Lonchura striata: one gene and its partners. The protein of the gene in region 1 binds, or shares a complex with, the protein of each later gene. Links are inferred from orthologs where the notes say so. Each region holds a gene or a part of one and is shown in the gene's direction. Other genes may lie near its edges. The genes, in order: CEP290, coiled-coil and C2 domain-containing protein 2A, TMEM107 and TMEM67.

Evidence for each region.
Region 2: CEP290 (region 1) and coiled-coil and C2 domain-containing protein 2A share a complex: the UniProt entries of both Homo sapiens proteins name them as parts of the tectonic-like complex. The link is inferred for Lonchura striata from reciprocal best matches to the Homo sapiens genes CEP290 and CC2D2A.
Region 3: CEP290 (region 1) and TMEM107 share a complex: the UniProt entries of both Homo sapiens proteins name them as parts of the tectonic-like complex. The link is inferred for Lonchura striata from reciprocal best matches to the Homo sapiens genes CEP290 and TMEM107.
Region 4: CEP290 (region 1) and TMEM67 share a complex: the UniProt entries of both Homo sapiens proteins name them as parts of the tectonic-like complex. The link is inferred for Lonchura striata from reciprocal best matches to the Homo sapiens genes CEP290 and TMEM67.

The regions. Positions count from the first base shown.
Region 1 is NC_134607.1:51,704,784-51,712,748, reverse strand, and holds the start of CEP290 (centrosomal protein of 290 kDa), read left to right. Parts: upstream 1-4,592; 5' UTR 4,593-4,839; intron 4,840-5,243; 5' UTR 5,244-5,460; intron 5,461-6,874; 5' UTR 6,875-6,931; intron 6,932-7,455; 5' UTR 7,456-7,479; coding exon 7,480-7,581; intron 7,582-7,719; coding exon 7,720-7,797; intron 7,798-7,965. UniProt on the Homo sapiens protein: Involved in early and late steps in cilia formation. Its association with CCP110 is required for inhibition of primary cilia formation by CCP110.
Region 2 is NC_134606.1:15,063,472-15,071,347, forward strand, and holds the start of coiled-coil and C2 domain-containing protein 2A, read left to right. Parts: upstream 1-4,853; 5' UTR 4,854-4,929; intron 4,930-5,758; 5' UTR 5,759-5,766; coding exon 5,767-6,004; intron 6,005-6,769; coding exon of another isoform or gene 6,770-7,401; exon of another isoform or gene 7,402-7,507; intron 7,508-7,876. UniProt on the Homo sapiens protein: Component of the tectonic-like complex, a complex localized at the transition zone of primary cilia and acting as a barrier that prevents diffusion of transmembrane proteins between the cilia and plasma membranes.
Region 3 is NC_134636.1:1,519,933-1,527,382, forward strand, and holds the start of TMEM107 (transmembrane protein 107), read left to right. Parts: upstream 1-4,396; 5' UTR 4,397-4,418; coding exon 4,419-4,490; intron 4,491-5,418; coding exon 5,419-5,456; intron 5,457-7,450. Other genes in the region: aurora kinase C, read right to left, coding at 267-306, 1,912-1,994. UniProt on the Homo sapiens protein: Plays a role in cilia formation and embryonic patterning. Requires for normal Sonic hedgehog (Shh) signaling in the neural tube and acts in combination with GLI2 and GLI3 to pattern ventral and intermediate neuronal cell types.
Region 4 is NC_134603.1:24,491,397-24,499,675, reverse strand, and holds the start of TMEM67 (meckelin), read left to right. Parts: upstream 1-4,807; 5' UTR 4,808-4,906; intron 4,907-6,811; 5' UTR 6,812-6,843; coding exon 6,844-6,900; intron 6,901-8,279. UniProt on the Homo sapiens protein: Required for ciliary structure and function. Part of the tectonic-like complex which is required for tissue-specific ciliogenesis and may regulate ciliary membrane composition.

The DNA.
Region 1 (7,965 bases):
CTGACTTGCATTCTGGCATTCTAAGGTCTTATTTTCTTGAAATGTACCATAATGATACACAGAGTTACGAAAATTACTTTTTTCCACCTGCTTTGATTACAGGGTACTTTTAATGCTTTTGCTGACTTAAAGCATAAATATGGAATAAAAAAATTGCATTCCTTTATGTTAGCATAACAATGCAGATTTTGAGCAAGTCTTGCCATCAGAACTACCACCTCCTATCTGCTACTGTAGCTGGGTCCACCTTCACACTCCAAACTCCAAACCTGCAATGATCACCAACATGTTGAGAATGCAAAACTAAAGCAGAGGTTTATAAAAGATCATCTGTACTTGGTAAGCCAGGCGAAAGTATGACTGCCATTAAACTCAGTGGAAAACAGCAACTGCTTCTTGGCAACCAAAATTGCTTTCACACCAACCAATCTATTATCAGTTTGATGTTGGAAAGTAAGAAGCCATGTAAGGAGTATATAAGACTGAGATCCTTGCAAATCACAGACGTGCAAGAGGCTGCTGAAGCCTTGATATGACTGGGCTGCTCACGTGAGTGGAAATAATTCTCCTTCTTATACCCAAGTGACATGCTGATCAACCCAAGTATGGTCTTGCAAGTGCCAGAACTTCACATCCAGTGATGGATGTATTTGATAAACACCTGCAAAATGTTGCTTAACAACTTCTTTGTTAAAAGAGACTTGCTGCAAGGGTGAACTGCCCTTGTTCCACATCACTGCCTAGTCCTAAACATGCAAACAGACTGAACATCCCTCAGGTTATTTTTTCATCTCACCTACCTACTACTTTGACAGCTTCTAAGACTGCCCCTCAGATACCTTAACCACCCCTTGGGTATGACTGCCAGCTTTTGGTCTAGTGCACAGCCACAGACTGGATGAAATCAGGACAGACATACTATATTACAAAGACTTCTATTGGATACTTTAATTTACAACAATATCTGACCATCATGAAGAATATACAGATGAAAACAATGAACAGCAAGGTAAACCTTGATAGTCAGAAAATGCACTGTAGTCATCAGAGTCAACTGCAAAAGAAAGAATACCCAGGCTGCAAAACAGCCTATCATTGGACTAAATTTCTGAGGCTGTTTGGCACAGAAATCTGCACTTTGCACTGCACCATTTTCACATTTGTACAGAGACATTAAATGGAAAGGACAAAATAGAACCAGAACTCTCAAGTCCATTTGGCTCATAAAGTACATAGTTTTCCTGTTCCAGCTTCTTGAGATCAATCTAATACTTCACGCAGTCTTCAAGAATAACAGACAAGAGTAAAACGTAAGAGTCTCACAAAACTGAAAAAAAGCACCGAGAAAAAACAAAGTAACAACGACCAAAATAGTCAAAGCACTTTTAGAATATAAGAAAACACAAACATACATTTAAATTTGTTTCTTCTATTGAGTAATGGCACTTGCATGGATTGAAAGGCATTAACAACGTGCTAAGCCAATTTACTAAAGAATAATGAGGCAATACTGGATATTTATGTACTAGACACAAACTTTATTCATCACTGAAGGTTCTGAACTGCTTAGAACATTATTTACAGTTCACGCAAAAAACCTTCAAATTATCAAAGGTGATAAAGTTAAAAGCTGTTAAAACCACTCCTAGGGTTACTTTTATTTTTAAATAGGTGAGCAACTATTTTTAAACAGGTGAGCAACTAGTTCATCTAAGAGCTGGTAGCTGAACATCAGCAGAGATATATACAAACCGCTGGTACAGTCACTTACAAATTAGGATATTAGCACAGCCTCAGAAGCTGAATTAAAATGATATTTTTATTTCCTACTTGCTAGCCTTTGCTTATTTTTGCCACTTCCAAGACACAACTCCAATATGAAGCAACTTAGATGCACAGCTGAGATTGGGCTTGAATCTCATCTAGAAAACAAGTATTTGGAAATATGAAAGGAGAAATAATACAAAACATGCCTGAATTTCCTTTTTATCTTGCTGAAATCCTAAACCAGGATAAATATTACACGAAAAGTTTTATTGTGAAAACCTTCTGCAAGGTTTTCACTACCAGATCAAGAGGCATGGGACTACTAGGAAATACTCTTCACTATATAGGAAGCTCATGGCCTCCAGCCTTCTCTTCACATGGTTCTGAAGGATTAATGAGAAGAGCACTGGAAGTTCTGATACAAAGTCAGAACACGTGTTGCAAGCCAGATGAAAGATCTCCCACTGGAAAAGAACTTGCTGGCCACCTGGCGGCTGGACTAACAGTTGTGACATCTTAGGTTACTCTGATGAAACAAGGACCAAAATGTAACACAGTTTAAAATGGGTGAGACAAAGATACTGATTTAGCTGGTGGTTTATCTTCAATTTGTTCAATGTAACTGGTACATGCCACTTGAAATATAAACCACACAGGTCTTGCTTGTACTTTAAGGACTTAGAAACTTAAATTAGTAACAGAATCTCACATTTCAATGTTAAACAGTAGCAAAATAATACCCAGTCTGTTTAGTGACTACATAAAACATCTTTTGTGGCCTTACTGATACAAAAAGTGTCTCTAAAATAACACTTATCGCTCTCAGTGTTCCAGAAATGCAACAGCAGAAACTGCTTGCTTGTTTACTCCAAAGAATAAATGAACAAAAGCTACATGTGAGGTATAAACTGAGAACACAGCCTTTAGACTCTGCTACTCTGTCCTTACTTACGCTGGGTCTGTATACGATTTCCTCCGTACTTTAAATAACATTCCATTAGGCTTTTCAGGGTGAGGTTTTTCTGTTAGGTCTTTGCAAGGGCACACTGTTATCAAAGCTGTGATTTAACAAGTATGCCTAACTCTTCTAACAGAGTAGGTCAAACCGCTCACTGTGCAGTTGAATTTATTTATTGGCTCCAGAACTGTAAGTATCTAATCCCACTAAAAGAAGATTCACTTACACAAAGTTCATCATATGAAGTGGTGCAAAACATAAGAAAAACTAATTTACTTGGTCCATGCCATGCTGTATTTTGAATATTTTCATTTTCATTTGGCATTAATACTTCAATTCCTTTTACTGTTTTTTAACTTTTGGAGTTCCCATGCCAGCTTCAAATCCAAATACCTTTTACTTCTGCACCAATGGTCTTTACTAGCTGCACTACACAATTGAAACCCAGATATGGTTTCACTACCAGTAAATGTAATAACATGCTCTCTGCTGATTCTGCAACAGAACACTCAAAAATGCTGATGCATATTAAATAAAGTACATTAAATAGCTACACTGGCATTAACAACTGGTTATGATGATGATGATTTTAAAAAAAACCTCCTATACAGAAGCATTCTAGCATCAATGGAATATTTTCTCTACCACAGAAATATTCCTTTCCTGAAGGCTTAGTTTGTGACTAAGGTGACATTATTTTCTGTGTCACTTCCTATACCTATAAAATTCCCTGCTACTAAGAAATCATTGTTTTACACTTAATCATAATTAATTTTATAATTTTTTAATTTTTAGTAACATTACCCATTCATTAAATATACCCAGTCTTCTTCCCTTCCCTAAGTATACAGTTTGCTTTCTGTACCTAATACAGAACTATAATTATCCAACCCCTAGCTGAGATATGGAAGTCTTTGGAGTTGTGCTGTGACTGGAACAACTGCATAACTATAAGGAGTGCAAGGCATTTTGCATCTTGTCAGTCTCTAGTAAACATCAACATGGATTAAGAGATAGCAAAACAACTGAAAACAATTATTAATCCAAAAAAAGGACGAAAAAAAAAGGACCTTTCTCTTACCATTAAAAAGAAACAAAAACCCCAAATCCACTTCAGCTCTCCACAGCTATTGAAAAAACAAATGCAAAAAGATAAACACGCCTACAATGGTACTGTTTTTATTTGATAAGATGTTTTCACACCCATTTAACTAAAACACAGGATCCCAAACTTCCTCCGTTATCAGACCACAACCAAAACTCAGACTTGCTGGCTAACAGTACCCAATGGATTCAAGTAGTTTATAGGTGTGATTTTTCCCGTGCCTTCCGGCCCCCACTGTTCCCTCCGTATTCCCAAAGCACAGGCGCACCCGGGCAGCCGCCGGCCGGGCAGGAACCGACACGCTGCCCGCAGCTTGGGGCGAGGCAGGGAAGGAAAGGGCAGGCTGGGCGGCGGAGCCAGGGCGCGGTCCCGGACGCCGCTCAAGCGCCGTGGCAGCGGTCGGGGCCGCCCGGCAGCGCGGCAGGCGCGGGTGCCCAGCGACGCGGCACGGCGGGCACGGCCGGCGGACCGAAACCACCGCGGGCAGCAGCTACACCGGACCCCTCCACCCTCCCTTCCTCCCCCCATCCCCGGCAAGGCCCGTGGCGGGCCGCAGGGGCCGTGCCCGCCCTACCTGAGGCCGGGACAAACACCGGGACCGGGACCGGGACCGCGGCCCCGCCGCCGGAACCGACACCCACCGCGCGCGCCGCCGCCGCCGCACACGGCGCACGCGCGCCGCGCCGCTCTCCGCCCCCTAGAGGCTGTCGGGAAAAAGGCGGGCGGTGCGGTCGGCCCGGATGCATGCCGGGAGCTGTAGTCCCGTAGACCCCGCCCGGTGGCGGGGGCGGCGCTAGGGGCCGTTGCCCCGGCGAAGCGGCGCTGTCGGCGGGGATCGCGCCCTGCCCGCTTGGCTGCCCATCGGGACCGGGAGAGCCCGCTTGGCGCCGTGGGGCTTGTCTGTGGGTGCCACGGAAGCGCTGACTTTCCCTGCGCCCACGAGTATCCGGATCTGCGGGAGAGTCCGATGGCGTCGCCTGGCAGCGGCCACCGTCATCCCCCGGGAGCGGTGAGGCCACGGGGCGGGGGGTGCTCCGGGCAAGGAGACCGAAGCTGCCGCAGCCCGAGCGGCCCGCGCTCCGCCGGGAGCCCCGGGCCGGGGGCGGCGGGGCTCTCCGCTCCTGCGGGCCCCGGGCGGCGCGGGCGGCGGAGCCCGCGGCTGGAGCGACCGCCGCGTCTGCCCGCGGCTGCTGCTCTGCGCGCCTCGCTGCGGGGGCGAGTGCAGAATAAGGCAAACTGTTAGTTCAGTAGAGCTGCGATGAAACGGGGACAAAGCTGTCTCAGCAGCATCCTGGAGGGATCCCGGGCTGTCACTGTATCCTGTGTCTGGGGTATGCCAAACAGGAAACAATGGGAACCTGCGAAGATCCTCTCTTGATTGGGGTTTTGTAATTAAGATCTTGTGCTTCGCAGAGCTACTCCGGGTAAATGCAATTTGAAAGTCGAAAGCAGCTTAAACTGGAATACCCAGTGTAAACAAATGCGGAGTTAGCAGATCACATCTCCCGCGTGACTGTGGTGCTTCTTGATGTTAAGTCTCCCTCCTGTGCACATTACTCTGCTGCCCATTATACACACCCTGGTGGGAAAAGGTCAGCTCTTCCCAGTGGTGCTTGATCTCACTGCAATGGTAAGATATTTCCATGTGAGCTTGGCTCGCGTGGTTTCCTGTAGTCAGACCAGGGCACTGTTGTTCTGGTAGTACTTGAGCATACCCTCCAGACTTCCTTTTCCATCTAAGTCTGCTGAACTTTATCTGGCCGTTTTATGTGTGCTTAATTCCCTGGATAAATCCAGAAAATCTTGTGGTAACTAATACCAAATCCCCATCTATTTCACACATTTTGTAGACCCATGAGCTCAGCGCTTCATCACATGGATCATCTGTTTACTAAAACCACGGGTTTTAGTTGATGACAACAGATGAGCAAAATGATGAAAAACTTTTCACTTAAATAAATTCTTTCACACTATGTATATACTGTGGAACATAATCCGTGCATAGGTTGTGCCCCCCTACTTTACTGTAGCTGCTCTCCCACCAAGTTGGATTCAGTTGTTTATGTACAATTCAATTATGTTTTATCCTTCTGGATAAAACTTTAGGACTGATATTTTCTTAGGACATTATTTTGTAAGCTAAGGGGAAAAGATATATGAAGAGATGGAAGGTAGGAAAGGATTAACAGTAGTGAGTTTGTGTGTTTGCTTTCAGAATAGTTTTGATTGTTGAGCATTTAAAAATCCTAAATTTTACATCTCATTACTTAAGAAAAAATGAATGTGTTTAAGACTTTTGATCCTTAGACAAGTATGTTGCTGAAATCAAGTAGTATTCAGTTAACTGAATGAGTCAAAGTGCCAGTATTCTCCTTGGATTATCCTTTGCCATTACAACAAAACAGAAAAGCAATAATGTATACAAGGTGTTATCCTTGTGAAGTCATGGGTTGAATATAATACATGTTATATGATTAGCAAATATTGAAGAAATTTAGTAAATATAGGGGACCTTTCAAGTAGTTCACATACTCAGAAAGGATGAAGGTTTTTTTTATCCTCCATTAAGTGTACAGTTGTATTTCTGTGACAGCTCTTCTTTCGGAGTGCTTAGACATATTTGTTTTGGAAAGTAATATCAGTTTCAGCCTTTTATTAATGAAGGAGGTTTCAGTTGTTGAGTCTTTAAACTGCTGAATGAGGAACAGGGTGTGTGCTGGATCAGATCTCAAAATGCTGTATTCCGTATACAGCATTGCTGAAGTTATTGATTGAGCTTGATTTTTTCCTATAAAATATATACCCCTGCTGTGTCATTAGTTTTTTTGAATAATACTGCATTTACTATTGTAGTTAGCTTTATTTCTTTCTTAATTTTTATTAACCATTTGTGCTATAATAATAATTTAGGGCAATAAGTCGATTAAATATATTCTGTTCTAAATTTGGCAGAATTTACTTTTTGAAATATTGATCAGAAAGTCTAGAGACAGCTCCAAAGAACAGAATAATCCAAGATTTCCTATCCCTTCTGCCTTTTTCAGATACTGCATTGACTTTCAGGTATGTGAGAAATCACTGTGGCCCACAACAACCAGTAGGTAAGCAGTAGAAAAAGCTTTACACCACTTTCTGATGAGATTTTTCTCAGTTTCCAGGTTTATTAATGTCCTTTGTCAATTCAAGTATTCTAACCAAAAATAAATGTTTAATACAATGTCAAGAAGTTGGTGCTCACAGTATCAAACTGAAAGTGTTGTGTTTTAAATATTAGAGATAATAATTCTTGTGTTTGTTCACTGGCATAAAAATACCAAATTAAAAGATAGGGAAGAAAACAAGGATATTGAAGTTAACATACAGGTTTCATGTGTGTCCTGATCTTCACTAATAGTTTTAAGAATTCATTGAGTACGGATGGTGTAATTCTTAACATAAAGAAAAAGTATTTTTATTATAGCCTCCTAGATTGCAATAGATCAAAATGTGAACAGAATGTTGATCAGTGTTACAGTTATTAGAAGTCATCTGGTGTGTTCAGTGGCCAGCCTCCATTAAATCATTTGACCTAAAATTGGTTTGCACTGATAATACCTGATAACTGTTATTTTAATCTTTGTTCCAGGAAAAAAGAAGTCATACCTTCAATATGGCACCTGTTTTAGATTGGAGGAAGCTCATGAAAGTTGATCCAGATACTCTGCCTCATCAAGAGGAGCTAGCAGACAGATTGCTGGATATCATGGTCAAGGTGCTTGAGAAGAAGGGAACTTGAGGGTTTTGTTGTACCTTCTTCCCTAAACCATTTCTGGTCCTTCACATGCATGAAAGATTTATTTTGTGTATTTCATTGATATTAGTGTAAAACCACTTTTGTCTCTTTTGTTAGGTTGATGGGAAGGACTTAAAAACTGAAACTCCAGAAAAAATGATGCATCTTTTTAAGATTACTCAATCACTACTGAAGGTTTGTATTAAGGCTTACTTTCTTCAATTCTGCAGATGCATTTGTTTTGTGGGTTTTTTTATTTTTTGTTTGTTTGTTTTTGTGGGTTTTTTCTGTTTTGGTTTGGATTTTTTTGTTTGGTTGTTGTTTTGTTTAAATGGAAGCATCTCTTTTTCTCCTGTTCCTGAA
Region 2 (7,876 bases), on another chromosome or scaffold:
AGATTTCCCAGTGGCTTGATGATAAACCCTCTGCTGAACCCTGGCTTCAATAGGGATCTAACTTACAAAGTATGTTCTCAAGGACATAATAGAATTATAGAACAGTTTGTCTTGGAAGAGACCTTTAAAAGTCATCTAGTCCAACCCCCCTGCAATCATCAGGCACATCTTCAACTAGATCGCTTTGCTTACAGCCCTGTTCAACCTGGCCTTGAATGTTTTCAGGGATGGGGCATTGACGACCACCTCTCTAGACAACCAGTTCCAGTGTTTTGCCATCATCATTATTAAAAATGTCTTCTTTCTGTCTGTTTTAAATCTACCCTATTTTAGTTTAAAGCCATATCCTCTTGTCCTATTGCAACAGGCCCTACTAAACACTCTGTCTCCATCTTTTGCAAAAGTACCACCTTTAAGTACTGACTTTCAGCACTTCATAGGAGAGTTGCTCCAGATCTTTGATTGCCTTTGTGGTCTCTTCTGAACCTGCTCCAGGATGTCCATGTCTGTCCTCACTGAAGACCCCAGATTTGGACACAGCATTCCAGGTGGGATCTCACAAGAGTGTAGTAGAGAGGCATAAGCACCTCTCTTGACCTGCTGGCCATGCTGCTTTTGATTCTTTAGACCTGCCACCTTAACAGACTGCAACAAGGTCCAGGAAAGCTTTTTGAATGTTTTTCCAGTATTAAATGAATCAGATAACTTTAAGAACTCACTTGGAAAATCTGCTTCTGTCTTCGTTCGACAAGACAGGAGTCTGTGAAAGAGGGCAAAGCCTCCTGTGCAATGGAGAACGGCAAACCCCCCTCCCTCTGAATTACCAGGATCTTTAAATTAAAAGGCTCTCAGGCAAAGATGTGGGAATGGGAGTAACAATTCTTTACTAGGAGAAAACTAGACAACAATTTAAAAAGGCAAATGCAATCGGTACAAACAAAACCAGTGAAAAAAAAAGTCCAGAACCTGAGGAGTCGGGGTGCCAGTAGCAGTTCTGCTGGGACAATTGATCCCCTTGCAGTGGTTGATGAATTGCAGCTGAAGTGGTGATCTTTAGAAGGGTATAGTTTTCCTCTGAAGATCTGGTGGCAGTGGGGCCGGTCTTCCTCTGCGCCGGGGTTGCCTCTGAGCTCCGCCGCCGCCTCCCTGTGCCCCGGCTGTTTCGCTGCGAGATCCCGCGAAAGAAGAGAGAGCGCTGCTTCTCTGGGAATCCCGCGAAGAGAGAGAGCGAGCTGCTTCTCTCGGAGTCCCGCCCAGAGAGCTGCCTCTCTCCCCAAAAAGCTACCCCTTTATACAATAATAGAGTGCTTGGCTTCCCCCTCTGGGTGGGACCCCTCACGGTGTTACATTTACCAGCCCTGCATTGAATCAGTCAATGGCCCACTAACAAACCATTACCTCTTAGGAGCAAAACCGGTTCTTGGAAAAGATAACAAAACCTGTCCAACAGGTTTGCCTTCAACAGATGGCAAATAGAATACAAGCTTATCTTACAACCTAGGACAGCTTCAGAAACCATTCTTAGCAAACTGGTCTAGTGAAAAGTGCCCCTGCCCACAGCAGGGAGGCTGGAACTAGATGATCTTAAAGGTCCCTTCCAACACAGACCATCCCATGATTCTATGACTATAACTGATCAGCATGTCCATCATCTTCCAGTGAATGCCTTGATCTGCATTCTTCCTCTACCTAGTGGATTTGAAACTTATTGAAATGCCATTTCCTAAATGTGGAATAACATTATTCTAACTCTGAGTTTATATAATTTTCATTATTATTTTTGGTAATGGCTATGATGAAGATGTATGCTATTGTTCTGAAGAAGAATACCATGTGCTTATTCTGGCTTGCAGTTTTTGGAAAAATACACTGAACTTCTCAAATGTTGTTTTTCTCTGGAGACAAATCACTTGGCATGTATAAATGACTTTGTTTCCTACCCCAGTTTATGGACAAAAGTTTTTTATCTTTGAAAAGGACAACCAAAAGCCAAGAACAAAGTGTTATTTATGGTTCACATTCTGCCTCCCAGTTAACTCTCTGTGAACAAATATTTAACTACAACAATAAAACTATAACAATAGATGACTCCTGACAAAGTGATTTGGGAAGTCTATTATACCCTCTAACTTCTTAAAACCATGTGAACTGAAATCTCTTTGGCCTCCTAAGTCAGCCTGAACTTTCAAAAGCCATGGTCATATGTTCTTTTTCACCTTTAATGTTTCAGTGATGCTTTTAATGGCACTCACTGGGAAACAGGGGGCATGGGTTCAACACTGTTCTCCCTTCCGTGGTCTGAGGAGATTTCTTTTTTAGTTGTTTTACAAGAGACTGCAATAACAGACAGGCACCCCCTCCTTATAAGTTGACTACTGTTATGCACAAAAAAATGCAAGAGTCTGAATTCAAAGGGCAAGAGAATTCCTGATTCTCTGGCTTAATGCATGGTTTCCCAAATGTAATTTTTTGGCTCCCACTGTTGGAAGTAGCTTTCTGTGTTTCCCCAAGAATAAATTCAGGTCTGTAAACATCATCACCTCAACCATTATCATAATTTTCTCCCAAGCCCAGCTCTGTTTGCCTAACTGCAGTCCTACCATTCAGCTACACAGCCCCTCACTCCTTAAGACCCCCAACACATAGATGAAATCTCTGTATATTGTCCTCTATGCTTTCTCCATCCCAAACTGGTTCTCCAAACACCATGCCCCAGGCATCTAAGGTACATCCCTACACTCCTATCTCAACAACCATATTCCCCTCACCTTCCCCAAATGACATTTTTCCCATGGTCTTTTCAGAAATACATGTCGCAAACTAATTAATTTCCTGTAGGCACATGAGAAGAACAGCAGGGGAGGTCTGGGAGCTGGAGACAGCTTCACAAATCAATAAGGTACTGGCCAGCCAGTGACAGGAACAGCTGTGTGAAGTTTTTTACTCTGATTTGTAAAATATCCTTGACACTGGCAAAACTAGAAATTGTTGAGATTATTTTTGCCTGGCTTACATGCAACACAGTGTGGGAATATCCAGCCTACTGATTCAGACTTTCATCTGGCAAAGGGCAGGATTTTTTTCCAGTCCTTGATCCTTAGGTCATGTCTGCTTCTTATCCATCAGCTTTGTGTAAAATGCATATGCAGCTTTAAGCATGAAGTCCCTCCAAGTTGCTCCCTCCTGGCTAAGTGTTTGAAGTTTTTCTTTTCTGCAAAGAGTTTTTTGTCCCTGATTTAAGTCCCATGAAAGTCCATAAGCTTTTTTTGAGTTTTCTCAGTAGTACATCAGAGCAAACGTCTTTGTGAGGTTTGTCTTGTAGCTAACAACTGCCTTGGAGTCATCATTCACTGCTCTGCTGTATTGTTCAGCATTCATATGCTAATCCATTTGTGGAGACTGCTATGCGTGACTGTATGGTAAGGTTTTATCAAATAACAGCAAAATTAATAGTTTGGTTTCTGCCAATTTGATGCAAGATGTCTAAAATGAAAAGCAAAATATCTATCACCAAAGAGAATTTTGGAGCATTATTTCTCTCCAAAAGATTTTCGTCTTTTTAACTGCATTACCACTGGTACCATAACAGTTTCTAATTTTCCGCTCTTTAAAATAAAAGATTCTTCATAAAGACTGTGTATATGTATGTGTATATGTATATGTGCATGTATATACATATATGCTGATCATTTCCTTGCTGAATAGACCTGACCATGCCATCCTTATAGCAGCTGAAACACCATGAACTGCAAATAAATGTAATGGCTTGGGGTTTTAAATAAATCAGTTAATGTTAATCATTATCACAGAGGGGAGAATGAGAACAACAATTTCTAGATTAAAAGGCTCTGCAGAGGGATGCTGGATCAGTGGGCTGAGGCTGGTTGTGTGAGGTTCAACAAAGTGCCAGGTCCTGCAACCCCAGGCAGCACCACAGGCTGGGGGTAGAGTGGCTGGAAAGCTGCCCAGTGGAAAAGGACCTGGGGGTGCTGGTGACAGTGACTGACCACGAGCCAGCTGTGCCCAGGTGGCCAAGAAGGCCAATGGCACCTGGGCTGTCCCAGCAGCAGTGTGGCCAGTGGGACCAGGGCAGTGATTGTCCCCCCATACTGGGCACTGGTGAGGCCACTCCTCAAATCCTGTGTTCAGCTTTGGAACCCCACTTCAAGAAATCTATTGAGGTGCTGGAGCTTGTCCAGGGAAGGGCAGCAGAGCTGATGAAGGGTCTGGAGCACAGGTCCTATGAAGAGCTACTGAGGGAGCTGTTTAGCCCTAAGGTTTGGGGGAGACCTTATCACATTGTACAACTCCCTGAAAGGAGGTGGTAGCCAGGTGGGGGTCAGTCTCATCTCCCAGGGAACAAGTGACGGGGTGAAAGGAAATAATGTCAAATTGTGGCACTGGAGGTTTAGATTGAGTAGCAGGAAATCTGTCTTCACTGGTTTCACAGAAAGGCTTGACTAGCATTGGAACAGGCTGCCCAGGAAGGTGGCAGAGTCACCATCTCTGGAAGAGAAATGTGGATTTTCAAGAAACATGTGGATTTTACATTGTTTAGTGATGAGTATGGTGATGATGTTAGGTGGATGTCTGGACTCAATAATCTTATCTTAAAGGTCTTTTCCAACCTTAATTATTAGTCTGTGATTCACTGTTAAGAAAAGATAGACTGCATTTCACAAACATTTTTCTCAATCGCCCATTCTGTTTTTTCTCTTTCTTCCCACAGAAACCTGTGGATTCTGATTTCCTTGAATGCTGTAAATTAGCTCTGACAGAATGGACAGCTCCAATAAAAAAACTCACACAAATTTTCTGAGAAGACATCAAAGGAACTAGAAATAACAGCTTGACTTGAAGGTTCTCACCTGACCCATGACTGACTCTCTGCTAATGCAACACTAAATTTAAGACGCCTTTGTATATCAGGTACTGCAATTATTCAGCATGTCACTGTTTATACAGTTACTTTTCTTTAGTATCCCAGTACACAGTGGGACAGAGAAATCTAATTTTTATCCAGTCGCTTATGAAAACACCCAAATACCATATATTAGGATTTAACCAATTTTCTTGCAAGATATTGCAACACAGTTCATTGTATATGACAGCCCAAGCCAGGTTTAAAAAACTCAGCCTGATAGCAGTCCATTCACACTCCACCATCCCCTGCAGGGCAGGGCAGCTGCCTGGTTCCACCTGACAGATGAGGGTGAAGTGTTTATTTGTGCTGTTTCCAAGGGGACCTGAAGCTGTAGCTCTCTAACTGCCATCCTTTCTCCAGCTTCAGCAAGTTTCTGCTGCAGTTATTTAAGATGGAGATTAATTTGCCACCATAAGTGCAAATTTCAAAATGAAATGAAGGTGTAAGCTTTATCCTCACTAACTCCCTGCAGCAAGAAGGGTTTTATCTGTAAAGTTTATATAGGGACCAAAGACAAAATACTATGCATTCAAAGATCTTTGAATTGAAAAAAAATCCAGATTATTTTTTCACATGTCAACATTTGGCCCCAAAAAGCTGATATTCACCAGTTACACTATGTCAGTCTACAGCTACTTACTTGAAAGACAAACAGCAACATGTAAGGCGCCCAGAAAAAGCTCCAACCTCACACTTTCCTCCTTGCCTCCTACACGGATTTTGGTAATGCAGAAATTTCAGGCTGAGGTCTGCACCTCTACTTGTGCATAATGCATCACAGTGTCACGCTTATTTGCATATGACAAGAGTGTCTTACTAAACTTTTTTTTCCAGATCTGAGGATGTTTGTGTTGCTGTACATTACAAGTTTTGCCATCTACACAAGCGAACAGCCTCTTCAAAGCCAGACCAAAGGAGAAAATTACTACACCAGATACATCTGCAGCATCCCAGGTTTGCCAGGCCCTGCCGGCCCCCCTGGAGCCAGCGGATCCCCGGGGCCTCATGGACGCATTGGTCTTCCAGGAAGAGATGGCAGAGATGGCAGGAAGGGAGAAAAAGGTGAAAAAGGGAGTGCAGGTACTGATTATTTGTGTAACCTAACACAGTAGTGCAAGAAAACAAGACCTTTCATCATCACTGTTATCATCATCACTATATCTATCTATCTATCTATCTATCTATCTATCTATCTATCTATCTATCTATCTATTTATTTATCTATCTATCTATCTATCTGTTTATCTATCTATCTATCTATGTATATATAGGTATATATATATCTGTATATTTATATAGATGAGTGTGTGTATGTGTCTGTGTGGGTTTAAGTGTGATGCATATATAAATACAGTAAGAGTATGCACATATATCAGTGTAAAGAAATGTAAATGCACAACCTTTCTTTGCACAGATGCTAAGAAAAGATTTGGAAAGAATGAAGCATGCTTGGTGCCCCACCTGTGCCATTAGCCAGTTGTTAATAATTAGAAGGTTCTTAGGTATGCACTAAAAATGCTCTATTTTTAGGAAATATTTAGCACACAAGTATAACTACGTAGGTAGTCATGCTGCTGTCCCTGCCATCAGTAGTGCCTGTTAGTTCAGGCGGCAATAGACTGATTACATATAACATTCTTTAATGTGTAATCAAGACACATGAAGATAAGTAGGAATTACTGGCATTCCTTTTTCAAACTTACTAGAAAACTTTGAAAGTATTTCTAGATATTTTGAAATTCTGACCATGTTTTTCTTGTTTGTTCAGGTACACGCAGTAGCCCACACAATCATTTACTGAGGTGATATGTATTAACGATTAACTAACTTAAAATGTTTTTGAAGGTTTAAGAGGAAAGACTGGGCCCTTAGGACCAGCTGGAGAGAAAGGAGACCAAGGTCAGTCTGGTAAGAAAGGACCTGGAGGACTGACTGGTGCCAAAGGTGAAGTAGGTCCAGCTGGACCACCTGGACCTAAGGGAGATAAAGGAGACCGAGGAGAGCCAGGTGCACCAGGGGTCTGCAAGTGTGGAAAGATAGTGCTGAAATCTGCCTTTTCTGTTGGCATCACCACAAGCTACCCAGAGGAAAGACTACCAATTGTATTCAATAAAGTCCTCTTCAATGAGGGGGAGCATTACAACCCGTCCACAGGGAAGTTCATTTGTGCCATCCCAGGGATTTATTATTTTTCTTACGATATCACCTTAGCCAACAAGCATCTTGCGATTGGGCTGGTGCACAATGGCAAGTACCGGATCAAGACTTTTGATGCCAACACCGGCAACCACGACGTTGCTTCTGGATCCACAGTGATCTACCTTCAGCCAGAAGATGAAGTATGGCTTGAAATCTTCTACACTGACCAAAATGGTCTCTTTTCTGATCCAACATGGGCAGACAGTTTGTTTTCTGGATTTCTCTTATATGTTGATACAGACTACCTTGATGCTTTATCAGATGAAGATGAGCTCTGAAGCAGATGTCAAATGACATTCAAACTGGAGGCCCCAGCATAGGATTTTATTCATCTGTGTGGGGAAAACAAAGTTGAAATGAAAAAAAAAATCTCTGGGTGTTCATTCTTGTTTTGATTGGAACCAAATCTGAGCTCGTAAGAATGTTCTAGAACCTAGGATGGATTTTTTTTTTTTTAACGAACAGCAGGGATATCAAAATGAACTGTAATGAACAAAAGACTGCATCACTCCAGGACTGATTCTTTCCTAAAATTACATTTATAATACTATTTAAACAAATTTAAGATACTGTACATTGGATTTGATATAAAATGTATTATTTTGCATTTTAGAATGGTTATTTTGTATATTACATTAAAGTAAAATTGAACAATTCACTGCAATATCATTGTTGGTCATTTTAAGATGGGCAATGCATTTAAAACAGATAGGAGAGGAATAAAATAGGAATCACTGCTTCAGGATGCCACTG
Region 3 (7,450 bases), on another chromosome or scaffold:
GGAGGGGGACACGGGCAGGGGTCACCCCAAAAATACCCAAAATTGGGGAGGGGTCACCCCAAAAATACCCAAATTTGGGGAGGGGGACACGGGCAGGGGTCACCCCAAAAATACCCAAAATTGGGGAGGGGGACACGGGCAGGGGTCACCCCAAAAATACCCAAAATTGGGGAGGGGGACACGGGCAGGGGTCACCCCAAAAATCCCAAATTGGGGAGGGGTCACCCCAAAAACCCCAAATTGGGGAGGGGGACGGGGGGTCTCACCTTGGTCAGGCCGGGGGCCACGTTCTCCTTCTGAGCCATCCTGGGGAGCACGGAGGGTCAGGGGGACCCCAAAATCCGGCAGGGACCCCCAAAATCCAGTGGGGACCCCCCAAAATCCAGCAGGGACCCCCCAAAATCCAGCGGGGACCCCCAAAATCCAGCAGAGAACCCCCAAAATCCACTGGGGACACCCCAAAATCCATCGGGGACCCCCCAAAATCCAGCAGAGAACCCCCAAAATCCAGCGGGGACCCCCAAAATCCATTGGGGACCCCCAAAATCCAGCAGGGACCCCCAAAATCCAGCGGGGACCCCCCAAAATCCAGCAGGGACCCCCTCTGGATCCCCCAGTTCCCTTCAGGACCCCCCAAATCCCATCAGGACCCCCAAATTTTTCTCATAAATCCCCCAGGACCCCCCAATTCCCCCTCAAGACCCCCCAAATCTCCCTGCAGGACCCCCAAATTCCCCCCAGAAATCCCCTCAGGACCCCCAAATTCCCCCTCAGCACCCCCAAATCTCCCTGCAGGACCCCCAAATTCCCCTCAAGAACCCCTCAGGACCCCCAAATACCCCTCAGGACCCCCAAATACCCCTCAGGACCCCCAAATACCCCCCAGGACCCCCAAATACCCACTCAGGACCCCCCAATACCCTCAGAAATCCCCTCAGGACCCCCTAATTCCCCTCAAAGCCCCCCAATTCCCCCCAATAACCTCTCAGGACCCCCCAATTCCCTCAATATCTCCTCAGGGTGCCCCAAATCCCTTCAGAAACCCCCTCAGAACCCCCCAGTTCCACTCAGAACCCCCCAATTTCCCTTAGAAATCCCCTCAGCACCCCCAAATCCCCCCTCAGCACCCCCAATTCCCCCTCAGGACCCCCAATTCCCCCTCAGGACCCCCAAATCCCCCCTCAGCACCCCCAAATTCCCCTCAAGAACCCCTCAGGACCCCCTAATTCCCCTCAGAAACCCCCCAGTTCTCCTCAGGACCCCCCAGTACCCCCCTAGGACCCCCCAATTCCCTCAATATCTCCTCAGGATTTCCAAAATCCCCTCAGAAATCCCCTCAGGACCCCCTAATTCCCCCCAGAACCCCCCAATTCCCCCCAATAACCTCTCAGGACCCCCCAGTTCCCTCAATATCTCCTCAGGGTGCCCCAATTCCCTTCAGAAACCCCCTCAGAACCCCCCAAATGCACTCAGAACCCCCCAGTTCCCTCAGAAATCCCTCCAGAACCCCCAAATCCCCCCTCAGGACCCCCTAAATCCCCTCAGAACCCCTCAGGACCCCCTAATTCCCCCTCAGGACCCCCCAATTCCCCTCAAGAACCCCTCAGGACCCCCTAATTCCCCTCAGCACCCCCCAATTCCCCACAATAACCTCTCAGGACCCCCCAATTCCCCTCAATATCCCCTCAGGACCCCCCAATCCCCCCTCGGGACCCCTTAATTCCCCTCCAAACTCCCCAATCCCCCTCAGAAACCCCCTCAGTTCCACTCAGAACCCCCCAACTCCCTCGATATCTCCTCAGAATCCCCCAATTTCCCTTAGGAGCCCCCTCAGGACCCCCTAAATCCCCCCGGGACCCCCCAAATCCCCCCCAAATCCCCCCAAAATCGCCCCCAATTCCCGCCCCTCACTCGCCGCCCGCCGCCGCCGCCGCCGCTTCAAATTTCCCCCGCGCGCTCCCATTGGCCGCCGCCCGCTCGCGCCGCGCTCCCATTGGTCCGCGCCGCCTTCATCCCCGCCCCCCAGGACGCGCGCCGCGCTCCCATTGGTGAGCGCCCCACGAATCCCCGCCTCCCCAGCGCGCGCTGCGCGCCCATTGGTCGATGCCACGCGAAGCCACGCCCCCCCACCGGCGCGCCTTCACCCCGCCTCCCCCACTCGGCCGTTCCGCCCACCCGCGCGTGACTCGCCGCTGATTGGTCGCTGCCGGAGAGGTGAACGGCCAATCAGCGCGGGGAACGCGCGGTCACGTGGGGAGGCGGCCATTTTGTGCGCGGCCGTTCAGCCCGGCAACAGGGGCGGGGCCAAGAGGGGCGGCGGCCAATCAGAGAGCGGGGGGGGCGCGGGGGACCAGTACGGACCAGTATGCACCAGTATAAACCAGTATAGACCAGTATGGGCTGTTATGGATCAGTTCAGACCATTAGGGACAAGCATAAACCGGTGTGAGGCACTGCGGTTTAATACAGACCAGTATAAACCAGTATGAACCAGTACAAGCCAGTATAAACCAGTACAGGCCTCTGTGACCCAGCCCAGCCCAGTATAACCCAGTATAAACCAGTACAGGCCTCTATGACCCAGCTCAGCCCAGTATAACCCAGTCCAGCCCAGCATAACCCAATATAAACCAATCTAGCCCAGTATAACCCAGTATAAACCAGTATAACCCAGTATAAACCAGTACAGGCCTCTGTGACCCAGCCCAGCCCAGTATAACCCAGTATAAACCAGTACAGGCCTCTATGACCCAGCCCAGCCCAGTATATCCCAGTATAAACCAGTACAGGCCTCTATGACCCAGCCCAGCCCAGTATATCCCAGTATAAACCAGTACAGGCCTCTATGACCCAGCCCAGCCCAGTATAACCCAGTATAAACCAGTACAGGCCTCTATGACCCAGCCCAGCCCAGTATATCCCAGTATAAACTAGTACAGGCCTCTGTGACCCAGCACAGTCCAGTATAACCCAGTCCAGCCCAGTATAACCCAGCATAACCCAGTATAACCCAATATAAACCAATCTAGCCCAGTATAACCCAGTATAAACCAGTATAACCCAGTATAAACCAGTACAGGCCTCTATGACCCAGCCCAGCCCAGTATAAACCAGTATAAACCAGTACAGGCCTCTATGACCCAGCCCAGCCCAGTATAACCCAGTCCAGCCCAGTATAAACCAGTCCAGCCCAGTTTAAACCAGTATGCTCCAGTATATCCCAGTATAACCCAATATAAACCAGTCCAGCCCAGTATATCCAAGTATAGCCCAGTATAACCCAGTATATCCCAGTATAGCCCAGTATATCCCAGTATATTTCAGTATAACCCAGTATGTCCCAGTATAACCCAGTATAGCCCAGTATAACCCAGTATAGCCCAGTATAACCCAGTATAACCCAGTACATCCCAGTATAACCCAGTATAGCCCAGTATAGCCCAGTATAACCCAGTATAACCCAGTACATCCCAGTATAACCCAGTACATCCCAGTATAACCCAGTATAACCCAGTATATCCCAGTATAACCAGTACATCCCAGTATAACCCCATATATCCAAATATAACCCAGTATAACCCAGTACAACCCAGTATAACCCAGTATATTTCAGTATATCCCAGTTTAACGCAGTGTAACCCAGTACATCCCAGTATATCCCAGTATAACCCAGTATTTCCCAGTATTTCCCAGTATATCCCAGTATAACCCAGTCCAGCCCAGCATCCCCACCCCAATCTCCGGGAGGGGGCGTGGCCACTTTCCGGTGGGCGTGGCCTATCAAGTGGGCGTGGCCTTGGTGGGCGTGGCCTGTGTGACGGGCAAGCTTTGGGCGCGGCGGTGGGCGTGGCCAGGGCGATGGGCGTGGCCAGGGCGGTGGGCGTGACCAGGGCGGTGGGCGTGGCCAGGGGCGGTGGGCGTGGCCAGGGCGGTGGGCGTGGCCTGCTCCGTTGCCGCGGTAACAGCGCCGCGCGGGGCGGGGGGAGGGGAGGAAAACGCGGGAATTCCGGGGTGGGGGAGGGGTCCCGGGGGAGGGGGAGGGGTCCCTAGGGTGGGGGAAGGGTCCCCAGGGTGGGGGAGGGGTCTCGGAGGTCCCGTTCTGGCCATTTGGTGGGGGGGAGGGAGAGCGCGAGGTGGGGGAGGGGCTAAAAAAGCGGGGGGAGGGGAATGAGGGGGTCCCATGGGTGGGGGAGGGAAATGAGGGGCACCCATGGGTGGGGGAGGGGAATGAGGGGGTCCCATGGGTGGGGGAGGGAAATGAGGGGCACCCATGGGTGGGGGAGGGGAAGGAGGGGGTCCCATGGGTGGGGGAGGGGAAGGAGGGGCTAAAAGGGTGGGGGAGGTGCCAAAGGGGAGGGGGAGGGGCGGTCTAAGCCCCTCCCCCTCCCCAGGCCCCGCCCCCTGCCTCGTTCCAGCCAATGGCGTTGCTGCTGCCCGGGCGGTTCCTGGCGATGGTGGCGCACCTGGGCATGCTAATGAGCATGGGCGGGGTCAGTGCATGCTAATGAGCATGGGCGGGGTCAGTGTATGCTAATGAGCATGGGCAGTGTCAGTGCATGCTAATGAGCATGGGCGGGGTCAGTGTATGCTAATGAGCATGGGCGGGGTCAGTGTATGCTAATGAGCATGGGCGGGGTCAGTGTATGCTAATGAGCATGGGCGGGGTCAGTGTATGCTAATGAGCATGGGCGGGGTCAGTGTATGCTAATGAGCATGGGCGGGGTCAGTGTATGCTAATGAGCATGGGCGGGGTCAGTGCATGCTAATGAGCATGGGCGGGGTCAGTGTATGCTAATGAGCATGGGCGGGGTCAGTGCATGCTAATGAGCATGTGCGGTGTCAGTGCATGCTAATGAGCATGGGCGGGGTCAGTGTATGCTAATGAGCACGGGCGGGGTCAGTGTATGCTAATGAGCATGGGCGGGGTCAGTGTATGCTAATGAGCATGGGCGGGGTCAGTGCATGCTAATGAGCATGTGCGGTGTCAGTGCATGCTAATGAGCATGGGCGGGGTCAGTGTATGCTAATGAGCATGGGCGGGGTCAGTGTGTGCTAATGAGCATGGGCGGGGTCACTGTATGCTAATGAGAATGGGCGGGGTCAGTGTATGCTAATGAGCATGGGCGGGGTCAGTGTATGCTAATGAGCATGTGCGGTGTCAGTGCATGCTAATGAGCATGGGCGGGGTCAGTGTATGCTAATGAGCATGGGCGGGGTCAGTGTATGCTAATGAGCATGGGCGGGGTCAGTGCATGCTATTGAGCATGGGCGGGGTCAGTGTATGCTAATGAGCATGGGCGGGGTCCGTGCATGCTAATGAGCATGGGCGGGGTCCGTGCATGCTAATGAGCATGGGCGGGGGCAGTGTATGCTAATGAGGGTGGGCGTGTCTTGTCCTGACCCCGCCCCTTTCTCCAGGCCCCGCCCACGCTGCCCTCGGGGGAGACAGAGCCGGGGTGAGTGAGACCAGTTCAGACCAGTACAAACCAGTATAGACCAGTGTAAACCAATATAGACCAGTACAGACCAGTATAAACCAGTATAAACAATTATAGACCAGTATAAACCAGTATAGACCAGTATAAACCAGTATAAACAATTATAGACCAGTATAAACCAGTATAGACCTGTATAAACCAGTATAGGCCAGTAAAAACCAGTACAGACCAGTATAGACCAGTACAAACCAGTATAAACCAGTATAAACAATTATAACCAGTATAAACCAGTATAGACCAGTATAAACTAGTACAGACCAGTATAAACAATTATAGACCAGTATAAACCAGTACAGACCAGTGCAGACCAGTATAGACCAGTATAAACAATTATAACCAGTATAAACCAGTATAAACCAGTATAAACCAGTACAGACCAGTATGGACCAGTGCTCCCACAAGGGTCTCTGGGGGGAATTTTTTGGGAATTTTCCGGGGGAATTTTGGGGAATTTCGGGAGGATTTTGGGATTTTTTGGGGGGATTTTGGGGTTATTTTGGGGGGAATTTTGGGGATTTTGGGGTTTCTCTCACCCCTTCTCCCCGCAGGTTCTGGGCGGGATTTTTGGGGTTATTTTGGGATATTTTGGGGGATTTTTGGGGTTATTTTGGGATATTTTGGGGGGATTTTTGGGGTTATTTTGGGATATTTTGGGGGATTTTTGGGTTTCTCTCACCCCTTCTCCCGCAGGTTCTGGGGGGATTTTGGGGTTATTTTGGGATATTTTGGGGGGATTTTGGGGTTTCTCTCACCCCTTCTCCCGCAGGTTCTGGGGGGGATTTTTGGGGTTATTTTGGGATATTTTGGGGGATTTTTGGGTTATTTTGGGATATTTTGGGGGATTTTTGGGTTTCTCTCACCCCTTCTCCCGCAGGTTCTGGGGGGAATTTTGGGGTTATTTTGGGATATTTTGGGGGGATTTTTGGGGTTATTTTGGGATATTTTGGGGGGATTTTTGGGGTTATTTTGGGATATTTTGGGGGGATTTTTGGGGTTATTTTGGGATATTTTGGGGGATTTTTGGGTTTCTCTCACCCCTTCTCCCGCAGGTTCTGGGGGGGATTTTTGGGGTTATTTTGGGATATTTTGGGGTTTTTCTCACCCCTTCTCCCCGCAGGTTCTGGGGGGGATTTTTGGGGTTATTTTGGGATATTTTGGGGGATTTTGGGGTTATTTTGGGATATTTTCGGGGATTTTTGGGTTATTTTGGGATATTTTGGGGGATTTTGGGGTTTCTCTCACCCCTTCTCCCCGCAGGTTCTGGGCGGGATTTTTGGGGTTATTTTGGGATATTTTGGGGGGATTTTTGGGGTTTTTTTGGGGATATTTTGGGGGGATTTTGGGGTTATTTTGGGATATTTTGGGGGATTTTTGGGGTTATTTTGGGATATTTTGGGGGGATTTTTGGGGTTATTTTGGGATATTTTGGGGGGATTTTGGGGTTATTTTGGGATATTTTGGGGGGATTTTGGGGTTTCTCTCACCCCTTCTCCCCGCAGGTTCTGGGGGGGATTTTTGGGGTTTTTTTGGGATATTTTGGGGGGATTTTTGGGGTTATTTTGGGATATTTTGGGGGGATTTTTGGGTTTTTCTCACCCCTTCTCCCGCAGGTTCTGGGGGGGATTTTTGGGGTTATTTTGGGATATTTTGGGGGATTTTGGGGTTATTTTGGGATATTTTGGGGGGATTTTTGGGGTTATTTTGGGATATTTTGGGGGGATTTTTGGGTTTCTCTCACCCCTTCTCCCGCAGGTTCTGGGGGGGATTTTTGGGGTTATTTTGGGATATTTTGGGGGATTTTTGGGGTTATTTTGGGATATTTTGGGGGGATTTTTGGGGTTATTTTGGGATATTTTGGGGGGATTTTTGGGGATATTTTGGGGGGATTTTGGGGTTTCTCTCACCCCTTCTCCCGCAGGTTCTGGGGGGGATTTTGGGGTTATTTTGGGGGG
Region 4 (8,279 bases), on another chromosome or scaffold:
CTCAGTGAGAAGTGTTAAGCTTTTGACAGCTTACCTGTTTCTGCTTTGGAGACCTGATAAATTCTGTAAAATCAACTTAACTGTGGAAAGAAAATGAAACATAATTAATGGCTGATACCTGTAATTTGCTTTACACACTGTGCTACACTGTTGCAGCCCATCCATAGCAGTGGCTAATACTAAAGCCAAGCATATTATGAACCCATGTGAAGAACTCCTTCCATGTTCCAAGATGCCATGCACCACATCTTTCTGTTTCCATTATAGAAGAAAAAGAAACTCAAAATTTAAGTTGACTTCTGGAAACGATGTAAATACGATGAGATTACTTGGTCTTCAGTTGTGCCACACTGAACTGTTGCAATGAAACAGTCTGACAGAGTATCGAGAGAACAGTTCTCAACTGAGTTCTTGAAAGGTGCTTAGGTCCATCTCAGGATTACACGACACATCCATTCTTCTGAAATCCACCTGGTTTCAAACTTCACAACAAGAGTATGCTACTCACCAGTCCAGCACATACACAGTGAAGCCCATCAAATGAGAGAGCAAAAATATCCAACAAGGAGAAACTTCAGGAAGTACTTGAATTTACAAAGCCAACTGCAGTATTTTCCATAAATCCTTACTCTACTGCCTTTCAAACATAAGAACAAGACATCCTGATTTTCAACATTTTCTAACATCACACAATACATAGGACAATATTCTCAGAACAACACAAGCCTCTGTAGCAAATGACTACATCCCTTTAAAATAAACACAACAGCCCAATTCTCCAAGCATTTGAGAACACTCCTGCAAACCTTGCTCAATAAAGTACTAGATCCTATCAATAGGATCTACCTATCAATGAGTTACCTACCAATAACCATTACTGTCACTCCACCTGAACGTAGCAAAACAAGAGCAAAGCCCAAATACTGTCACTAACGAACTCCATGTCACTTCTGCACCAGTACTCTGTAAGCACAACAAACCGAAAACAACTGCCCATTTAGAAACTTCACTAAAGACCATCTGTTCTCTGTACTTTTGTGGCGAGTCGACCCCAGCCATCAGCCAAGCACCCACACAGCTGATTGTTCACTCATCCCCATCAGCAGGATGGGAAAGAACAAAGTCAAGAAAACTTGTGGATCAAGATAAAGACAGTTTCATCAGTGGAAAGAAAAACACAAAACAAAGGAAATCAGTCACCACCTCCCACAGGCTGACTGATGTCCAGCCTTCCTTCAAATAACAACTGCTTTGAGAGCCAAGAAAAAACCTCCCAAAGAAACCAAAACCATTAAAATCCTTCTTCCTCTACCTGTTTTTTTTTTTTGCCCAGCACAACGTTACATGTCACAGAATGTCCCTTTGGTGAGTTTGGGTCAGCTGTCCCAGCCACGTTCCCTCCCAGCTTCTCACCTACTCTGCGCACATTCACTGCAGGAACGGAGAAGGGAAATTGATAAGGCCTTGATACTGTGCAAGTGCTGTTCAGCCACAGTCAAAACACTGATGCGTTGTCAGCATTCTTTTAGCCACAAATCCAAACTGAACTGTATGGGTTGCTGTGAAGAACGTTAACTCCATCCCAGCCAGACCCAGAACACTTTATAATGTGTCTTCTCAACAGATGCAATGACAGTGCCAAAAAAGCATGGAGAATTCAAGAGCAGCATTTTCATACAGCACCTTCATGTCTTGATAAAGCAAATCCGCTGCCCTGCTACTTCATGATGTATTTAATCTGTAGTACTTCTGGATTAACAACTCCGCTTTCATATCCCAATTTTTAAGCAAAATTCACAACAGCTCTCCTCCATAATTCTTCGGTGATAAACAGCAAGTTCTTGATGATGAACCAGAGATACAATACATAACCTTCAGTGGTGAAGACCAGACACAGTGGTCCCAGATCAAAATGGGACCTCCAAGAAGTCCATAAACAAATGCAAGTTCAAATAATAGCTCTTACTGACTGTATAGTAAACCATCACATACAGACAGAAAGCACAGACAAGCCATCCAAGTTTAAAGAGCATAACCTAAAAGAGTTGACTTGTCATGAAAAGTAAGAGCAATTCATTAACTGAACAAGGACTTCAGAGAGCAAGGATTTGGAGAATAAATAAACAACTTCATGCCACAGCTTAAAAACACAGAAGTGTACAGTTTTATGAAATTTTATATATGAGTAAAATTGGCTAGAAAACAATACAATGCCTATTCTTCCACAGTTTCAGGAAATTCCAAACATTAAAGCCATTAAAATACTTCACAACTTGTAAACGCGGTAGGAAACTAAGTCTGCACTAGACTAGGATTTTTATCATAACACTGAAAGATTAAACAGACTGCAAGCTAGAAAGAACACCCACAGAACCATCCCGTCTATGAAACTGGACCAATATAGAATAACCAGCGAAACGGGATGGTTTCTTATTTTGTACTTCAAATAAGTCTTAATAGAGGAAGCAGTCTGCTGCGAATAGCAGTTTTCACAGTGCTGAAGGAAAACACGAGTGAGCCCTGCAGCTGAGCCTGCTACACGATCGAATGTAGCACGGGACCGCTCCCGAGCCAGTCGCCCCGCCGGCACCAGCGCTGCTGGAGACCCGGGCGGGCGGCCGGGCCGGGAGCGGGCGGGGGGCACGGGGCGAGGGGCACGGGGCGGGGGGCACGGGGCGAGGGGAGGCCGCCCCGCGCCACACCCCGTCACGGCCGCCGGTGCCCCGCCCCCACGCAGACGCCCGCCTGCTTCCCGACACCGGGACAGGGCGACGGGAAGCAACGCGAGCGGGGAACTGTGGTGGGAAGCCCAGGGACACGAGAAGGCCGGGGCACACGGAGCAGCCGCGCACCGGTTCCGCGAGGGTCGGGTAACCGAGAACCAGCAAACTGTGCGGCGCCCTCGACCACACGTCGCACCCCGGGGAGGCGTGCTTTGTCCCTCACGCCATCCATCCACGCACCCACCGGACACGCCGCTCGGACGGGCCCCGCAACTCCCGGCACGGCTCTGCCAAGATGGCGCCGCCTCCCCTGCCCCCCCCAACGCTGAGGGGAAGCGGAGCTGCGCGAGCGCGGAGCTGCGCGCGCACCCTCCGGGCAGGGCGACTCCGCCCCCTCCGCTGCAGTGCGCGTGCGCAGGCCGCGTGCCCCACCGGCGCGCGGGCGCGAGCCGCGCCGCAGGCAGTGCGCATGCGCTCTCCGCCCCGGCGCGGGGTGTGCGGTGCCCGTTTAAGTCGGTCTGAGGGAGCTGTGCAATGATAGATCGCTGTGTCTGTGGATAGGCACAGTGACAGACCTGCGCGGCGACAGAGCCGTGTGTAGAGATCGGGCACACGGTGACCGAGCGCCGCCGCCGCACGGTGCGCTGTGCTCAGGCTCGTTCCCGTCGGGGCCGGCGCGTGCCGCGCCTCAGGCGCCCCTCACGGCTCTTTGGATGCCTGGACACGATTTGTAACGCAGCTCGGGGCTGGCTCCTGCCTGGGCTGGGAGAGGAAGGGAAGGCAGGGATGGAGGAACGGAGGAGAAAGAGGAAAGGTTCAAGATTAAGTAAAGGGAAGGGAAGAGGCCGAGTACTTTGGTTGTGCAAGCGAGGTATACTTATCCTAATGTTTATCCTACCTGCCTTCTCTGACTTTACGTTCTTTGTCTTTTTATGTATACCCAGTACTTGTCTGCTCCATTTTATGTAGGAAAAACATCCCTGTGCTGTTTATGGTAGATTCACCTAGAAATGTTACCGACTTTAGGATGTGTTTCAACACGGATAGTCTCGTTTAGAAAAAAGACATTGTTTATTTTGTGCAGGGTACAAGGTGGGGGTTTCCACAAATCAAGCACACCACTAAGAAGTTATGTCTTTACACAATCAAATTTACATGAACGTGAGCCTAGGGACAGGTAATTTGATTTGAAAACATAAACTCAACCTTTTAATAGTTGTTGAGCCAAGAAAATAAATCCAGTGAGAAACAAAACATGCTAATGTTGAAAATCATAAGGCGACTAGCACGCAGGAGAGGCACAATGAGAAATAACTAAAATCCAGGACACAGTGTGTTGCAAAGTTTTGGTAACAACTGAGGGAATGAGACAAAAGGCAACAGGCAGAAACCTGCAGAGAAAGCTCCACCTGAGCGTGAAGAACTTCACTGCGCGGGTGCACTGGAACAGACTGCTCAGAGAGGCTGTGGAGTCTCCCTCACTGGCGATACTCAGGAGCTCTGGTCACAGAGCTGTGCCATGTGCTCTGGGATGATCCTGCTTGAGCAGGCAGGTTGGACCAAGCCCCCCGCTATGGTCCTTTCCAACTGGACTCATTCTGTGCTTCTGTGGGACGTGAACAAGAGTGTCACAAAGGTATAACAGTAACACTGGCTGAGCATCCACTGCTCTCGGCATTTTGTATTTTCACCTTGTTACCCTCTCTGGGGAGAAGTTACAAGCACCTGTTCCATTTGGATGATGCACTGTGCATCAGTTCAGGAAACGAGGTACCGGAAAGTGCAAACCGGGCCGGGGTGTCCTCTCGTTTCTGGCTCCTGGTCCCGCACAAGACGCACAAAACTCTCCGCGAGCCAAACGCATCAACTCCGGCCGCCGCGCCCTCCTTCGCCGCGCCCCGCGGACGCTTCGCTTGTTGCGGCGGCGGGCCCCCGGCGCTCGCCGTACCGCGCGGCTCTGGCCAATGGGCGCGCGCGGGCGGCGCGCGCGGTGGCCATGGCGACGCGGGGCCGCGGGGCCGCCGCCGCCGCGCTGCTGCTGGCGCTGGCCGCGGCGCCGCGCCCCGCCCGCGCCTTCTCCGTCCCGCTCCAGCGCCCCGCCGACTGCGGCGCCGACCGCTACTTCGACAGCTCCCGCCTGGCCTGCGCGCCCTGCGGGGCCCACCAGCGGCAGAGCGCCGGCGGTGAGCGGTGGGGGAGGCGGGCTCGGGCGGCTCCGGCTGAACCCGTCCCCAGCAGCGGGAGGTGCTCAGCCGGGCTCCGGCCCTGGCGCTGGAACGCGCCCGAGGGCGGCTCTGAGACAGCCGCGATGTGTCCGAGATACAGCTCAGAGAAATTACTTTCAACCTTTTTCTAATAACCTTTCTTTTCCTCGAGCGTTATATTGTATTTGCATTTTCATCTGTGAAATTCTACAGGACCCTGAATTTATGTTCTCGAGCACTTCTGTACCTTGAAACTCCTTGTCAGACTTGAATGTCCGAGATACCAAGTGTCTGAGATCCTCAGGCTGTGCCTGTTCTAGTCCAAGTCCCACACGGGAACTTGGAGCACATACAGCACAGCCTGACAGTACTAAATGGAAAATACAGGTAGTTGGCTGCTTTCTTTTGGCCATAAAGAGGTGTTAAGGGGTTAATCTTTCATAAAATACACAGTCCAACAAGAGTAGGAGTTCCCTGTGTACAAATTTGAGACTAAGACCTGACAACATCTCTGTCCAGAGCTGGTTGTTTGGGTGGAAGTAGTGATGGGCAGGGCTGTGTTCACAGCTGCTGCCTGAAAACTGCTCACCTTCACCACCACCATGAACCCCATATTTCACTTCCTGGAAGAAAATACAGTATTTTCAGATGCCCTGATAACGAGGGTGCCTAGATCCTTAACTCCTTTTTAGGCTGAATCTTCCTCTAAATAAAGGGCTTCAAGGAGAGGAAAATTCCAAGGAGAGGTCAAGGGTTAATTTTTTCCTGTAGATGTAACTGGAGCAGTGTAGGTAGGTGCTGCTCAGTGCTGTTTGCATCTTTACTGAATTCCACTTGAGATTGCCCAATTCCACTGGCTAGCCCAAGTGGAATTGGGCCATCTTGGCTAGCTCATCAGTCTGGATTCTGGTGTTAGGTCACATGCCTAAAAATCTAGGTATTGTCACTGTGAGTGTCACAACTCAAACTTTTCATTTATCTAATCCAATTGGGCTTTTTCTTCTTTAGAATTAAGTAGAAATGTTTGATCACTTTAACAAATGTTTCTGTACAGCTGGTCTCATTAGAATGTACTTTAAAGTGATAAACTTCCCACAGAATTTGACATTATTTTTGCCTGCACAGTTCAGTAAGCTTCAACAATAGAAAAAGTTCATTAGTACATATAATCAATTTTGTTTTCTGCTATGTGTTTAAAAATACAGAGGGAAATTCATTACACTGAGAGAGGGAAAGTTTCTAAAAAAACTGTTTAGCACTAGTAGATGGGCATTATACTGTTCCATTAAAATAGTGTTTAATTTCATACAAAATATTAAGTATTTTTTGTTCACTCACTGGAAACCATTCAATATAAACCTTGATCCCCATGCACAATTTTAAAAGTCTTGGGTTTAAAACAGTTTTTCATGCAACAGTTGTATTTTGAAAAACCTTTTCACAGGAACACATTTTGGTTTTAGGGCTGACTTCAAATTGAAAAAGTAAAACCTACATAAAAACACGTAATGTGTTTTATGTTGTAGAGGGAAAGGTTGTGGCAAGATTTAATGGAGAGATTATATCTATTACAGACCAACTGGTAAAATTTGGTTTAATTAAAAAAAAAAAAACAAACCACAAAATACAAGCTCTGGGTCCCTGTTCCACCCTGGTAGATCAGAGGCCGTGTAACATTCTCCTAAAACATCTATGTGCAAACTGTAACATCGGCGTTTTTTAAAAAGCAGGATGATTTTCATTCACATCTCACTCAAGTGTTTTATGTCTCTAATAATCCATCTTGATCTCTTGAGAACAATAGTATTTATTCTTAGTATTCTGTTGCAACCTGTCAGTTCTATATAGCTTAAAAGTGCATTTGTTGTTTTTTTTTTCCTTCAGGTAGTTCCTGTGAATGTGAACCAGGATACAGGATGGTTTCTAGTAATGATGGGTTCTCTGTTACTTGTGAAAAATGCCCAGAAAATATGGTAAGTATTGAATGTTTCATGTTTGCCATAATGATAGAATACAAATCATAATCATTATGGGATATTAAATTTTATCCTGACTGCAAGTTATTTTTCATTAATTTAAAATATTTTTGCATAATAGTCTTTCATTGGGAATTTTTAAGAACATGCTAATATGTAGTATTTTTTTTCAATTTAGAGTTGTCTATTTCTATTATTTTGTAGGCTTTTTTCATTACAAATTTGGCCCCACAGACAAAATAATAATTTTTTAAGCATTTAAGTTCTTTCCACTGCTTTTCTTCTCTGCTTTGTCCTTGTCTAGAGAGCACAACTCTATACCTTGTTAAAGATGCTTTTCAGCTCATAGGTATCTTAACTGATTATTTATGTAAATACTATTACTGTAATATTTAGGCTGTATCTTCATAATCCAGAATATTTCATCTTCTTACTTCAAAATGAGCTGTTCCTACTATGTTACTTTAATTAAAATTATAGTTTGATCAGTTCTTCTGACATTCCTTGACAAATTAAGTTATAATTTTTTGTCATAATCTCAGCACTGATCCCGAAACAGCAGGCTAAACCAGATTTTCCCCACTATAGTAAGCAAAGAAATGTATTTTTCCATCAAATCAACATTTGAAGCATTCCTGAATACTTCTTTCTCTTCAATAGCTATAGAAGAACTCCCAGGAGAGCAGCTTACTTGCCTGAGTTAGGTGTTCAGTGGCTAATGGGCTATGTTGGTAACCTCCCTTTTCTTTCCATCTTCTTGCTGTGTTAGACAAAGACTTTGGCACATATCCTTTCGTGTTGTGATCTTTTGCTTTTTTTTCCACTTTACTGCTATGGTGGCATTTGCCTTTGATCTGCTGCCAAGGCTTTTGCAAAGATAAAATAGTCATAATGGAGAAGGGAGTCACATCAGTAGCGCTTGAGGATGAGCAGTTGTCTTCATTCTCCTCGGTGTTTTTTATCTGTAATGCAATTTCTTCATGGTATATAATCAGTATGGTTGTGAACTGTCTGGATAGGTACAAAATTCCAAACAATTATATAAGCTGTTTCACTTGGAACTCTTCCATTTCCATTACTTCTGTATATTTGTATGCAATTGCAGTATGCAATTTATATGCAAAATGTATATTATGTTATTCAATGTATCAGTGCATTATTATGTTTATTCAATGTATCTCTTTTTAAACATTCTACTTTTCATTTTCCCTGAAGGATGTAAGCTAACAGGTTCAGAAGAGCTTAACTTTTTTTTGTGTGTCTTCTAGAAATTACTTTTGTCGGATTGTTTAGCCTTTTTTTATTTTTAAAAGCTTCATGAATGTTATCAATGTTTTATCTGAATACATTTCCTAGTAACTAAAGGCTGGATAAGG